Rattus norvegicus: one gene and its partners. The protein of the gene in region 2 purifies or fractionates together with the protein of the main gene of each other region. This does not show direct contact. Links are inferred from orthologs where the notes say so. Each region holds a gene or a part of one and is shown on either strand. Other genes may lie near its edges.

Region 1 (3,500 bases), on a different chromosome or scaffold from region 2:
TGCAGCCAGCATGTAAGTCTGTGAGAGTTACAGTGAGCATGCAGAGCCAGGAGAGCTCAAGTGCTGCTCTCTCGAGCTGTTAACAGACAGGTTCCCTGTAGCCGGCGTGGGGTCAGTTACTGAACAACATGCCATCTTTCTGCACAGACAAACCACAGAAACCTGACCAGGGCAGCGCTGCCAGGCGCACATGGTCCTGGATGACGTCACTGCTCAGTGTGCACAGAACCACTTCAGCGGCTGGTCCCTCTCAAAGCTACCAAAACGCCACAAATCAGAGAAACTACAAAATTTTATGGTGAGTCACCTGGGCCTACCTGACTCTCATTAACATAATTACTGACAAAATGGGGGGGTCCCTTATTACCCTGCTGTTCTTTAACTGGCATTGTAACAAAAGGCTACAGTGCTCTTACAGGGCTACTCAAAACACTGTAAGTACCAAGCAAAGAGACCTGGGTAGCCAGTGGCCCTAGCAGTGGACAGGGGTCCTCAGCACTCTGAGGGGTGGCGGCTACATGGAGGCTTGCTGGGGAAGGTGGTCTCTTGCTCGCAGGTCCCTTCCTTCTTTTTACCCTTGCTACAGACAGACTGAGTTGGAATATGAAGGGTCAGCCTCCGACTCTCAGGCCCTCCCAGTCTTCCACAGGAGGAAACCAGCCTGCTCTCTGTGCACATGAAAACATTTTTCTTTTTACACAATGTCCCTTTGGGAACAGGGACCATGTCACTTAAGTCTTTTATACCCTTTAGCGGCCTTTCTTAAAGGTGGGTGCCAGGGAGGCCACTGAAGTGTGAGTCCCACACCAGCAGAAGGGTCTGGCCTACTACTTCAAGTGGAGAGCTGTAAGCCTGTAGCCATCTCCCCTCTGTTCTGTGAGCACACCAGGACAACTGAGCCTGGCCGGGACTTGTTTGATATGATGGCGCTAACATAAAGTAAGTCAGCAGTTAAAAAAAAGCCGTGACACTTTTGTGCTGACCCAAATACACTTTAAATTTAATAACTGGGTGGACTGCCCTATCACATGTGACCAGTAGCTAGCTAAAGTTTCATTTGCTTAAGGAGACAGTGCGCTTAGAACGTGCGCTCTACATGATCTGTGAGCTGGTTAAATAGGTGAGAAGAGGCAGTGTGGAGGCACACAGTGTGGAGGCGCACAGTGTGGAGGCACACAGTGTGGAGGCGCACAGTGTGGAAGCCGGCCAGCTTTCTCCAGGTCAGAGGTGCATGGCTGCACGTGCCTGCTGCTGTGAGAAACCAGGAGCAAAGCGCTGCTTCATGCAGGACAGGGGGCTGTTAGCAAGGGCCGGGGCACAAGGGCCAGCTCCCAAGCACAAAGCACCAAGGAGCACTGCCCCTCCTCCAGGGCAAACCGGTCAGAGTGTACTTAACCCTTCGGGTGCTTTCGTCCCTGGACCAGGAAAGTGTGGAGGGGAAGGAAGGCAGAGACGAAGAGGAGGTCACAAGTGCACTCCTCCCAATCTGGAAGTGGAGAAAGAAACAAGCTTGGGAAAACATAAAACAAACACGTCCCCACTTCCCACCCTACAGCTCACACAGTCCCACGCACACACGCAGGAGCTCAGTGACAGCCCTGGCACAGTAATCTCTAATGAGGCAAGAGCCTGCTGGAAACCACTTTGCACTTAGGAGGCCACTTGTCCTTAAGGAAAAGATACCACAGCCGTCTCGCTACACTTGGCATGGCTTCAAACTGGCAGCACACACTGTTAATGCCTGCAATGACGCTTGCTCTCCCGTCGAGAAGGAAACACCACATAGTGCTATGGATGACTCTGAATTGGGGCATACGATCACCCCAGTCCTCAGGACAGACGGGGCAGCACAACCACAGCCGCACTTTCTCTAGGATCACATACACTGCTTACGCTGCCAGGGAGGTCGCCTTCATTTACGTTCAGTTATATAAAAGTCAGGTTCCTTTTCACTCAGTTCAGTGGCCAATAGACCAGGTCAATGGTTGGTCTTCAAGCGTTAAACCCAAATAAAGAGAGGCTGTGACTCCTGGGTGCACACAGTGCTGCAGTTTTACCATGCTAAAGTCTCGCAAAATCAGAACTGGTTACTTCCTGAGAGCTTAGCATGTACTTCACAGTGCCCTAGACTCTTAGTCAAGTGCTCTATGTACTTGCAAGAAACCAGTTTGACACTGCAAAGGGTGACACCACACTCTGAAGGAAGAACTATGAAGGGCAGTTTATGCCTGGAGCACGCTGTGGAGACAGACATCTTCACAGTAAGTCAGTCCAGAAGACAGAGGAGTTCAATGTTTGAAAACCTGGCATCCCCATGTGCACCACGGTGTCGTCGAGAGCCTGCCACAGAGCAGCCTTAGGAACCGAGGCTTGTGAGCGGATGATGCTTGTGAGCGACGTCCACCATCAGTTATTTACACATTCCCTTCTTTGTTTGTTAATGATATTTTGGAGATAAGATCTGATGTGGTCCAGACAATCCTCCTGCTTCAGCTTCCTGAGTGTGCTGGTTTAATGCTTGCTTACCCTGCATCTTTAGGAGATAACCAAGCCATACTACTAGCCTATGCTGAGGTCCGTAACCAGGATGCCGAAGCCAAGACTGTCTCAGCTCCATGTATCCAGTCACAGGCCCAAAAGAGCACCCTGGGGCCCAAGAGTTCCAGTTCATACAGGGGGCATGTCTCTGCCTACCTGGTTGTTTTTCAAAAGATTATTTTATGGATGATGTTCTGCCTGCTTGTATGTGTGCCATGTACATGCAGAGCCCTGGAGGCCAGAGGAAATGTCAAATCCCCTAAAGCTGGAGTCACAGCTGGTTGGGAGTGGGCTGTGTGCCTCGTGGGTGCTGGGACCTTAACCCAAGTCCTCAGCAAGAGCAGCCAGTGTGCTTAAGCCCCGAGCCACGTCTCCAGCCCCAACCTCTGCCTTTATGAAGACAGACATTTCTGTTAGTAACCTTTACAATTGGCTTTCGTTTGTAGAACCTAGGAAGGAAGCATTACAGAAAAAATGCCAACAGAGGTTGTCTCAAGCCCTGTGTGACCAGATGCACCTGCAGACATCCGTTCAGCACACACAGGGGCCCTCTCAGCGCCCAGAGATCTGCAGGGGCAGAAGAGGGAGAACAGTCACACTGCACAGCAGAATGGACATACACTGGTGCTACTTACATGAGTGGGGAAGGGCTGAAGTCTTGTCCGGCTTTCTTCAGGGTGGTTGGCTTCTCCCATTGGGAGGTATGGTTTCTGGCCTGATCCAGTCTCATACATGGACATGGGTCTACTGCCCCGGGCTGATGGCCGGCGCTTCAGGGAGGAGTGGCTCACAGTGTCTTTGTGGTCAGAGGCAGTCTGGACCTGACAGGCACTGGCTGTGGCCTGTCTCCTGAGGCTTGAGTTCTCACTCTGTAGAGTTTGAAGCTGAAAGAAATGTTTGGCAGTGGGTCTCTGTTTTTGCACAGCAGGCAGACAAAGCAAACGTCAAATATTCCAACATAA
Region 2 (4,091 bases):
ACACACACACACACACACACACACTTTTTAAAATGTTTAACTATTTGTAAAAACTATAACTCTGGTTGGGTGTCGGATGCCTCTGCAGGTAAAGGTACCTGCTGCCAAGCCTACAAACCTGAGTTCAAGTCAAGGGACCTATGTGGTGGACAGACAACTGACTCCCTCAAGCTGTCCTCTGACTCTGCCATAAGCACATTGCCTGTCCACCCACCCCCCACATACACACACACACACAAACAAAAATGTAATAATCTTTTTTAAAAAATAGAACTTTAGACTGATGATATAACTCAGTGGTTTATGAGAAGCCATGGATCTGACCCCAAAACTGAGGGAAGGAAAGAGTCAGGAAGGGGAAAGAGAAGAGAGGGGTGAGGAAGGGAGGAAGGAGATTATGGAAGGGAGACTTTTACTTTGCTACTTTAGTAATCTGCAGACAACTTTCTTCCTGTGCTAGGACAGATGGTTCAGTGGTTAAGAGCTCTAGCAGAGGATCTCCGTTCTGTTCCCAGAACCCACACCACATGCTGTGCGCTTCTATGTAGGCAAAACACTCAAACGCATAAAATAAAAATAAACTCTTAAAAGACTGAAATCTAGACGAAAGATATTACTAGTGTCTAAACAGTAAAAATATGTTCAAAGTCGTATTTTAAGATCAGCACAGGCAGAACACATTTGTGAACACCCAGGCAGAAAACCCAGCTAGGGCAAGTGAGCAGTTCAGAAGCGGAAATTTAAACAATATATAAGAATAGGAAGGGAAGGTTTTTTTGTTTTTTGTTTTTTTTTTTTTAAAGAAAACGACTACAAAAAAATAGGACACTGTTAAAGGTTTATGTCTGGGTTACTGAAAGCATGTTACAGAATGTATCACCAAAGAAAGACAGCGCATGCATCAGTTTTGCAGAGAAGACTTTTTAAAGATTTATTTATTTTATGTACATAAGTACACTGTTGCTATCTTCAGACACACCAGAAGAGGGCATCGGATCCCATTACAGATGGTTGTGAGCCACCATGTGGTTGCTGGGAGTTGAACGCAGGACCTTTGGAAGAGGAGTCAGTGCTCTTAACCACTGAGCCATCTCTGCAGCCCCAGGGAAGACTTTTAAGTTTTATTTCTCAGACAGATTAAAGTGAGAATCATCCGGGCCTGTCAAACTTTCTTCAAACTGTTGGATTTGTTAAATGTTCAGTAATTTCTAATTTTAAGTTTCCTTCAATTTTACTTAACAGTGAAATAATCATTGGTTTTCTGGCATTGAAACCATGCATTCTTCCAAATACTACCAAGGTGAATTCATTTTTTTTTTCCAAGTTTTCCTGAAAAGGAATTTATTTACAACAATAATCACATCAAGCCTTGAACTCTAAAACTAAGTTCTCAAATTATGAAAGTCAGCAGCATAAACTATCACTCAGTGTTTAATAAAAGCAATACATTGATATGCCAACTTGTTTACATAGGATCTGTAAGGCTTGGAAAACCAAAACAAAAAATGCTTGACAGGGAGGCAAGTCTTTTCAAAGTTAATGTTCATACATACAGCTGAGACATCAACACAATGCATGCTTAAGTTATTCTAGCCAATTCCTACAGAAGCTCTTCCCAGAGAAAACATCCAATGTGAGCATGATGAAAAAAGTACTAATCAGCCAATGCATATGCTTTGACTTACTATCACGATGCGGAGAGAAGGTCTACTTAAAAACAAGACTGAAAATTATCAAACCAAACTGTCTTCTTGGACTCTCTGTTCATGTGGTGACGTCGCTAAAGGCTGAAAGCTTGCAACTGATTTCCAGGGTGCTTAAGAAATCGTTAAGGCTGATTGATCATCAAGCTATCAAAGTAACTCTTTTGAAAATGAACACTTCTTGCAAAACTTTACCCGTTTTGGGCTGAACACTGATCTCACTGCTCCCCACCCAAGATGGGGGTCAGGAAGTTTTCTTCATCTCGTTCTTTCCTAACTCCTATGGATTCTTACCTAACTAAAGGGCAGTATTGTCTTTGGGTGATTTCAGCTCCGCTCGACATTAACCAAGCGATAATGTTAAGATGATGTTACGGTCCTCAACCCTGAACAAAAAACCAGCTTCCTTCCAACCCAGCTGTTAACAGACTGAACCGAACTAGTGCGGAAACCCGTACGAAAACCAACCCAATGGGCTGTTTTTCCTGGACCTACCCCACCTCAACAGCCACCCCAGACAACCCCATCTCTCCTGCTCTGGAACGGGAGGGGGAGGGGAGGGCGCGCCCGAGGATGTCCCCCCTCACGGCTTCCTCCGGTTGGCGGCTGGAGGTGAGAGCGCCCTTCCTGCCTGCCAGCCCGCGTCCCTACCGTCCCGGCCTCGGACACACCACAGACCGCGACAGGGCTTTCTGAGAACCGCCGAGACAGCGCGCCGCACACTTGCCTGCTCGGCTCCCCGAGCAGGGCTCGTAGCTCAGGCCAGAGGCCGCGCGGGGTCACCGGGCGGCACCGCGGACACCGGAGCTCCGCCGAGCGGCCTCCCCGCCCCCTCCGCTCCGCTCCGCCGCCAGCAGACGGCGCCCCCGGGCTAACTTCGCCGGGGAAGAGGAAGCGACCAGAGACTAGCAGGCAGCGCGGACAGACTAGGAGACCGAAAGGACGGTGCGTGTGTCCGCACGCGGGCAAGGCCATCTCACCTTCCCTCCGCCGAGCCCGCGGCTCCAGTCACCTGAGGACTGCACCGGGACGCCACCGCGGCTGGCCGGATGCCGTTACCGCACGAGGCCTGTGCTGCGCCGCCGCGTAGCTCTCAGAGAGGGGCGGGGCGCGCGCAACCGGTGGGCGGACCGTTGCGGGCAGGAAACCCGCTCCACACCTAACCTAATAGGCTCCTTCGCCTCCGGCGCCCGCCCCTGATTCGTCAGAGGAATGAGCCGCTCCCTGATTGGGCGAACGGGCTTGTCACTCAAGCGCGGCGCTCACTGTTCAGTGAGCTGAGGCTGCGCAGCGTTTGGACAGGAGAAGTTGAGGTTCGCTGGGCCCCACTGCCTTTTTCTCCCCCAGCTTCCTCGGTAGCTGGTTACTCTCCGCCTCTCCAAGCCCTACTAAAACCTGTCATTATAATCGCTCATTAATGTCGAACAGTGGTCCCGAGTTCAACCCAAACTACTCTGGTTCCTGCTTCTGAAAGGGCCGACCACCTACAGATCTTAGGGACAGAGAGCGACAAAGAAAAATCAAGCCTCGGAGAAAATGTAAAATGTTTGTTAACTAAAACCACAACCAAAATAAGCTGTGTGAGGAACTTCCGAGTGCCCTGGCGCGTGGGTAGCCTTCACTCTCCGCTTCCAGTTCTGTGAAAAGCACTGTTACCTTTGCCCTTGGGTTGAGCGTGGCAGTGGCACAGCCCCAGCCACCCGCTAAGCCATTAAGAAATCGATTCTCCTTCCCAATTAGCCCTACAGCCACCAATAACCTGCCTCACTATTTCCGAACACCCTTGCTACTTAGTATAGCTGTGGCACCTAAAAGCAGCACTCTAGGTTAGGTAACTTTATTGAAACACGGGTTTTGCCTCCGGCGTAGCTGCACCCATATACCTAGATTGCAAAGTCTATTACAAGAGGAACTGTGTCAGCACCCACCCACCCTCACTCCATGCCTAGCACAACATCATCGTCAATAATCGAGGAATTAATACATCTTCCTTTCCCCTTTTATTCATTTTTATTTTTTGTGTGTTCGAGTGTTTGGTGTACATGTGTACTTGTGTATCATGTGCGTGCCTGCTACCCCTGGAGGCCAAAAGAGGATATAGGATCCGCAGAAAAAAAGTTACAGATGGTTTTGAACTACCCTGTGGGTGCTGGGAATGAAACTGGGGTCCCTTGGAAAACTGGCGCTCTTAGTCACTGAACCACCTCTCCACCCCTTCCTTCCGCTGTAATACAGGTCCTACCGGTAAGTCCTAAAAAGTTACTTCTCTGCCTTTAACCTAGTTGCATGTTAATAGATATGGTGGCCTGCCCTAGGTAAAATACAAATTACCTGTAGCGCCTTCTTATCCTGAGTAAGAAAAGTAGGTGGTAAAGCTGGGCAGAGGAT
Region 3 (4,133 bases), on a different chromosome or scaffold from region 2:
CCGTGCCTGCAGCTCCTAGCTTTGCAGTTCTGACTGGCAGCTTTTCCCAACGTTGAGGGTGTCTCCCAACCCTCTGGACTGGAGCAAGAGACACGCTCACCAGGGACACGCCCAGCCTCCAGGAAGTGTCAGAGAGCGCTCTGACCTAACGGCACACAGTAATACTCTTGTCACAAGGCGATTCTTGTGACACCAGATTCCTCCAGAACACGGAATCCACGCAATGGCCCACATCCTAACTGCAGTTGTTATTCCAACTTGATGGACCCTTAAATACTCCCACAAGATTTCAACAGTAAGGGGTTAGGGATTTAGCTCAGTGGTGGAGCGCTTGCCTAGCAAGCGCAAGGCCCTGGGTTCTGTCCCCAGCTTCAAAAAAAAAAAAAAAAAGATTTCAACAGTATTTTCCTGCATTGAACACATGAGGATTTTCAAACCTAAAAAGCCAAGATACACACACACAGGGAGAGCGTCTCAAGGAAGATGGAGCAACACATTGGTGAGATAGGAAAATAAGGAGTTTAATAATTGGAGGGGGCAGCACACACACTGCAGCAGTCACACCGGTGCGGTCTGCCAGCACCGGCTCCTGCAGTGTCGCAGGGAAGGAGGGGTTGGCATGAGGTGCACAGGGAGCGTGGGCAACAACTGGGAGGGAAGAGTGGAGCTTCAGAGGCTGCACGCAGCAGCATGGTTCAGAACGGAAAGTGCTTCACTAGAGGACAGGAAATGGCTTAATCCCCCTCATCCCTCACAGAGCGCGGAGGAGTTGGAGTTGGTGAGAGGCACCCTGTGCTGTGGGTGTCAGAGCTCCACCGCAGAGATGCAGGAGGAGAACGGGGTGTGTGCCAGCTTTAAAAAGGACTGCTCCGGGTGCAGATTCTCGCTCCCTGAGAGCCTGGAAGACACTGGATCTCAGAAGGACAGGGTGGCGTGCTGACACAACGCTACCACCCTGTCCAGGGTAGGGATACTCATGGAAGTCTCCAAGCGAATCATTAAGGCAGGTCTGTAAAAACTGTCCTTGGGGCCTGCACAGCCACCTCGGCGGGGTGAGGACCGCGTCAGAGATGGTCTTCGCTTGCTCTTGGCGGAGGAGCTGTCCAGCAACCCCAGGCACCAGTCGCCAGCAGTGGAGTTGCAAGGAGCGTTGTTCCTGAGGTGAGGTCCACTGTGACAGCGAACACACTGTCCTCTGCTGTAGTGTCTTTTGGGTCGGAGAGTGCTTGGGAAGCAGGGCTTACCAAAGAGAAAGAACACCTCAGCTTTTCTCACCCGGCACAGACTGGGCTGGTAAAATGCTAACAGGAGCGGGAGGCTCTGGTGGATCCTGACAGACGCTGCACCCAGCCAGAGTGTGGAGGAAGGAGAGCACAAAGGGCCTCCACACACCCACTCAGAAACCTGCACGGAGGACGAGCGGCCAGGAGCTGGGTCACAACCTAGGCTATGCTGAGGCCCCAGCCACACTGCTCCTCAGTGTTTAAAGACAAACACCTTTCTATGGGGAAGTATCTCTGACTTCAAAACAACCTCTTTGGAGAAAGGAAGGGGACAGCTAAGCTCCTGAGGTCACTGTCACTGTTGCCAAATCAAGGGCAAGCCTGGCCCAACAGAAGCAGGGCCTCTTGGAAGCCACCAGCCTTCCAGGGCCCATCTGGGCCTGGGGAGGCAGCAAGGGAGGGCGGGGGCACAGCACTGAGGCTCTCCGCGCTGCTCCAGTGCGGTGTGTATTGCTTTAGTCTTGCTCAGGGTTAAGAGGGCTCTCAGTGGCCTGGACAACGCTGGCTGCAGCCAAAGGCAGAGCAGAGGTTGTGGATGAAAACGGCCTGCAGCCAAACCCTGCCCGGCAGCACCGGCTAAAGAATATGGAATAAATAACACAACTATGTACAGGGCCAAGATACACCAGGCTAGCCCACTACTCCACACTGTGACCCAGGGCCCAGGCAGGACAGCGCAGCAGAGGCGGGCACCAGTCTCACCCTCCTAGAACCCATGGTGCCCTGGGTACTGCCGTAGCTCGGGACTGGAATACTGCAGTTAAAAGAGACACACAAATCCACTGTGCCTGAGTGCCTGCTCCTGATGGCACCAAGGAGCCTACACTGCACACGAGTCAGATGCTGCCCGGGCATCCCTTCACCTCTCTGCTTCCAACACTTTAGGAACACAACTTCAGATCCCTGTGGCCAGAAAGGCTGAGAAGGAAATCCTAGCAAGAGGGTTAGCCTAGTCACCTCTCAGGTACATGTTCATTCAGATCTCAGTATTTACAAGGAGTACACAGGTAAGCTATTTATAGATTCAACTCAAGTCCCAAAGCCGAGGACTCTGGTCAGTCACTGCAGGGAGAGGTGTACAGCGAGGTGCTCACTCAGCCCAGGCCTCGGTGTCTAGAACTCACATGTAGCTACTTCAGCAACAGCTCATCACTGCTGCTTGCCTTTTGAAGACCACCTCCTTAGTCCTGAATGTCACTGTGCTGGGGACCAAGGGCCCCAGCCTTGTCCAGGAGCTGCTGGTCTTCAGCCTATGAGAATGAAGTCAGCCTATAGATTGGTCTCATCCCAAGCAGGGTCGTTCATGTTCTTTAGAACCTTCCTCACCAGCTTCTCTAGGTCCTTGCGGGCCCTCTGTTCCTCCTCTAAGGATTTCTTCATCTTCTTGTTATCCTGTAAGGCAAGCAGACGAAAGCAGGCTCACTACCTCAGCACCCACGGCATCCCTCATCCTAGCTCAATCCTTAGGTCGCTAGGTTGGGGGGGGCGGGCTGGCCAACGAAACTGAACCGTGAATGTACTCTGAAGAGTAACGGCCATCTCCCACTTACACGCATGAAGACAACTTGATAAAACTGCCTGCCAGAAGGAAGGGGCTGGTAACAGTGTCAGGACAATGTTACTGTTACCATTTTTAATTCCTATCCAGCCAAAAGCAGAGCAGAAGCCCCAGCAACTGAATGAAGCAGGTCAGGAAGGAAGGACAGCACGCTGCCCCAAACGTGGGGAAGGACAGACAGGCACTGCCAAGTGTGTCCAGTTACCCCACCCTCAGGACATCGCTGCCCTGTCCCTCCAAAGCGCCTGCACTCCCACCAGCGTTGAACATACACATCACACAGTGGTTCAAGCAGTGAAGATGCTTGCAGGGCAAGTCTGACATCCTGAGTTTGATTCCAGAACCCACATAGAGTGAAGAGAACCAACTCCACATGTGCTATGCCACATGCTCCACCCATGTCATACATACAAAGGAATAAAGCACAACTTAAAGTTAGGCAAAAGACTGTCACACACATAGCTGGCTAGGTACCACAGTGGACAGCATCCTACATCACTCCAGCAAACCCAAAAGGCAGCAGTCGATACCCCAGGATTGGGGTGATAAGCTGCCCTGTGGATGTCAGCTGAGCTTGGACCTCACCCGCTGTACCGTCTCTGCAGCCCTCGCCCGTCACTGCTCGGAAAGGCAGTGGACTTTGTGGTTCCGTTTAGTACACAAAGAGTTCCGTGTTAAACAGTTCCCCTTTTCTCCTATTAAAACCAACTGATTAAAAGTAAAAACTGGTTGGCATACCTGTCGTAACTCTTGGACTTCATCCTTTAGTGCGTACACGGTATCCACGAGGCTCCTGGAACAGGAGAGTGAGTAAGCACACGAAAAAAGACAAAGGGGCAAAGACTGGCCGGGACCAGGGCCACCTCGGGCAGCAGAGAGCCCAAGCTCTGCCTACTGAGTCCCCTTGTCTAAATCTGTAACTTCAGAGAGGAGCCCACCTGGGTACCTCAGGCTAACCCCAAGCCTAGACGTCACCCATGGGATGGACTGGGGGCGTGGGGGGGGAGCCATAATGGAACAGAAAGCCATCTTACTTTTCCTCTATCACTGTCTGCCCGTTGCTTTTGGTTTCTTCGACTATAATTTTCTCTTCTTCTGGAAGCAACACTTGTGGAGCAGACTCTTTGCGTGAACCTGGGTCATTAAGAAGAGAAGTCCCATGTGAGTGCCACTGAGGAACAAGAAAGGGCACCTATGTCACTACACACCACTTACACAGCACCAGTGACTACAGTAAAGTTTCTGACCGCTTTCCCCCAGCTGTCTGCCTGTCGGGTGTGGCCAACCAAGAC

What was found. Proteins that work in one complex are often made in the same cells at the same time.
Region 1: the proteins of Nck1 (region 2) and Git2 purify together in Homo sapiens (co-immunoprecipitation; 3 studies listed by BioGRID and IntAct, with this or other methods). This does not show direct contact. The link is inferred for Rattus norvegicus from reciprocal best matches to the Homo sapiens genes NCK1 and GIT2.
Region 3: the proteins of Nck1 (region 2) and Arhgef7 purify together in Homo sapiens (co-immunoprecipitation; 3 studies listed by BioGRID and IntAct, with this or other methods). This does not show direct contact. The link is inferred for Rattus norvegicus from reciprocal best matches to the Homo sapiens genes NCK1 and ARHGEF7.

What each region holds. Positions count from the first base shown.
Region 1 is NC_086030.1:47,521,405-47,524,904, reverse strand, and holds part of Git2 (ARF GTPase-activating protein GIT2), read right to left. Parts: intron 3,423-3,500; coding exon 3,174-3,422; intron 1,487-3,173; coding exon 1,397-1,486; intron 1-1,396. UniProt on the Homo sapiens protein: GTPase-activating protein for ADP ribosylation factor family members, including ARF1.
Region 2 is NC_086026.1:109,955,448-109,959,538, forward strand, and holds the start of Nck1 (cytoplasmic protein NCK1), read right to left. Parts: upstream 2,801-4,091; 5' UTR 2,684-2,800; intron 2,641-2,683; exon of another isoform or gene 1,686-2,640; intron 1-1,685. UniProt on the Homo sapiens protein: Adapter protein which associates with tyrosine-phosphorylated growth factor receptors, such as KDR and PDGFRB, or their cellular substrates. Maintains low levels of EIF2S1 phosphorylation by promoting its dephosphorylation by PP1.
Region 3 is NC_086034.1:84,372,627-84,376,759, forward strand, and holds the end of Arhgef7 (rho guanine nucleotide exchange factor 7), read right to left. Parts: intron 3,976-4,133; coding exon 3,876-3,975; intron 3,635-3,875; coding exon 3,580-3,634; intron 2,676-3,579; coding exon 2,553-2,675; 3' UTR 501-2,552; downstream 1-500. UniProt on the Homo sapiens protein: Acts as a RAC1 guanine nucleotide exchange factor (GEF) and can induce membrane ruffling. Functions in cell migration, attachment and cell spreading. Promotes targeting of RAC1 to focal adhesions. May function as a positive regulator of apoptosis.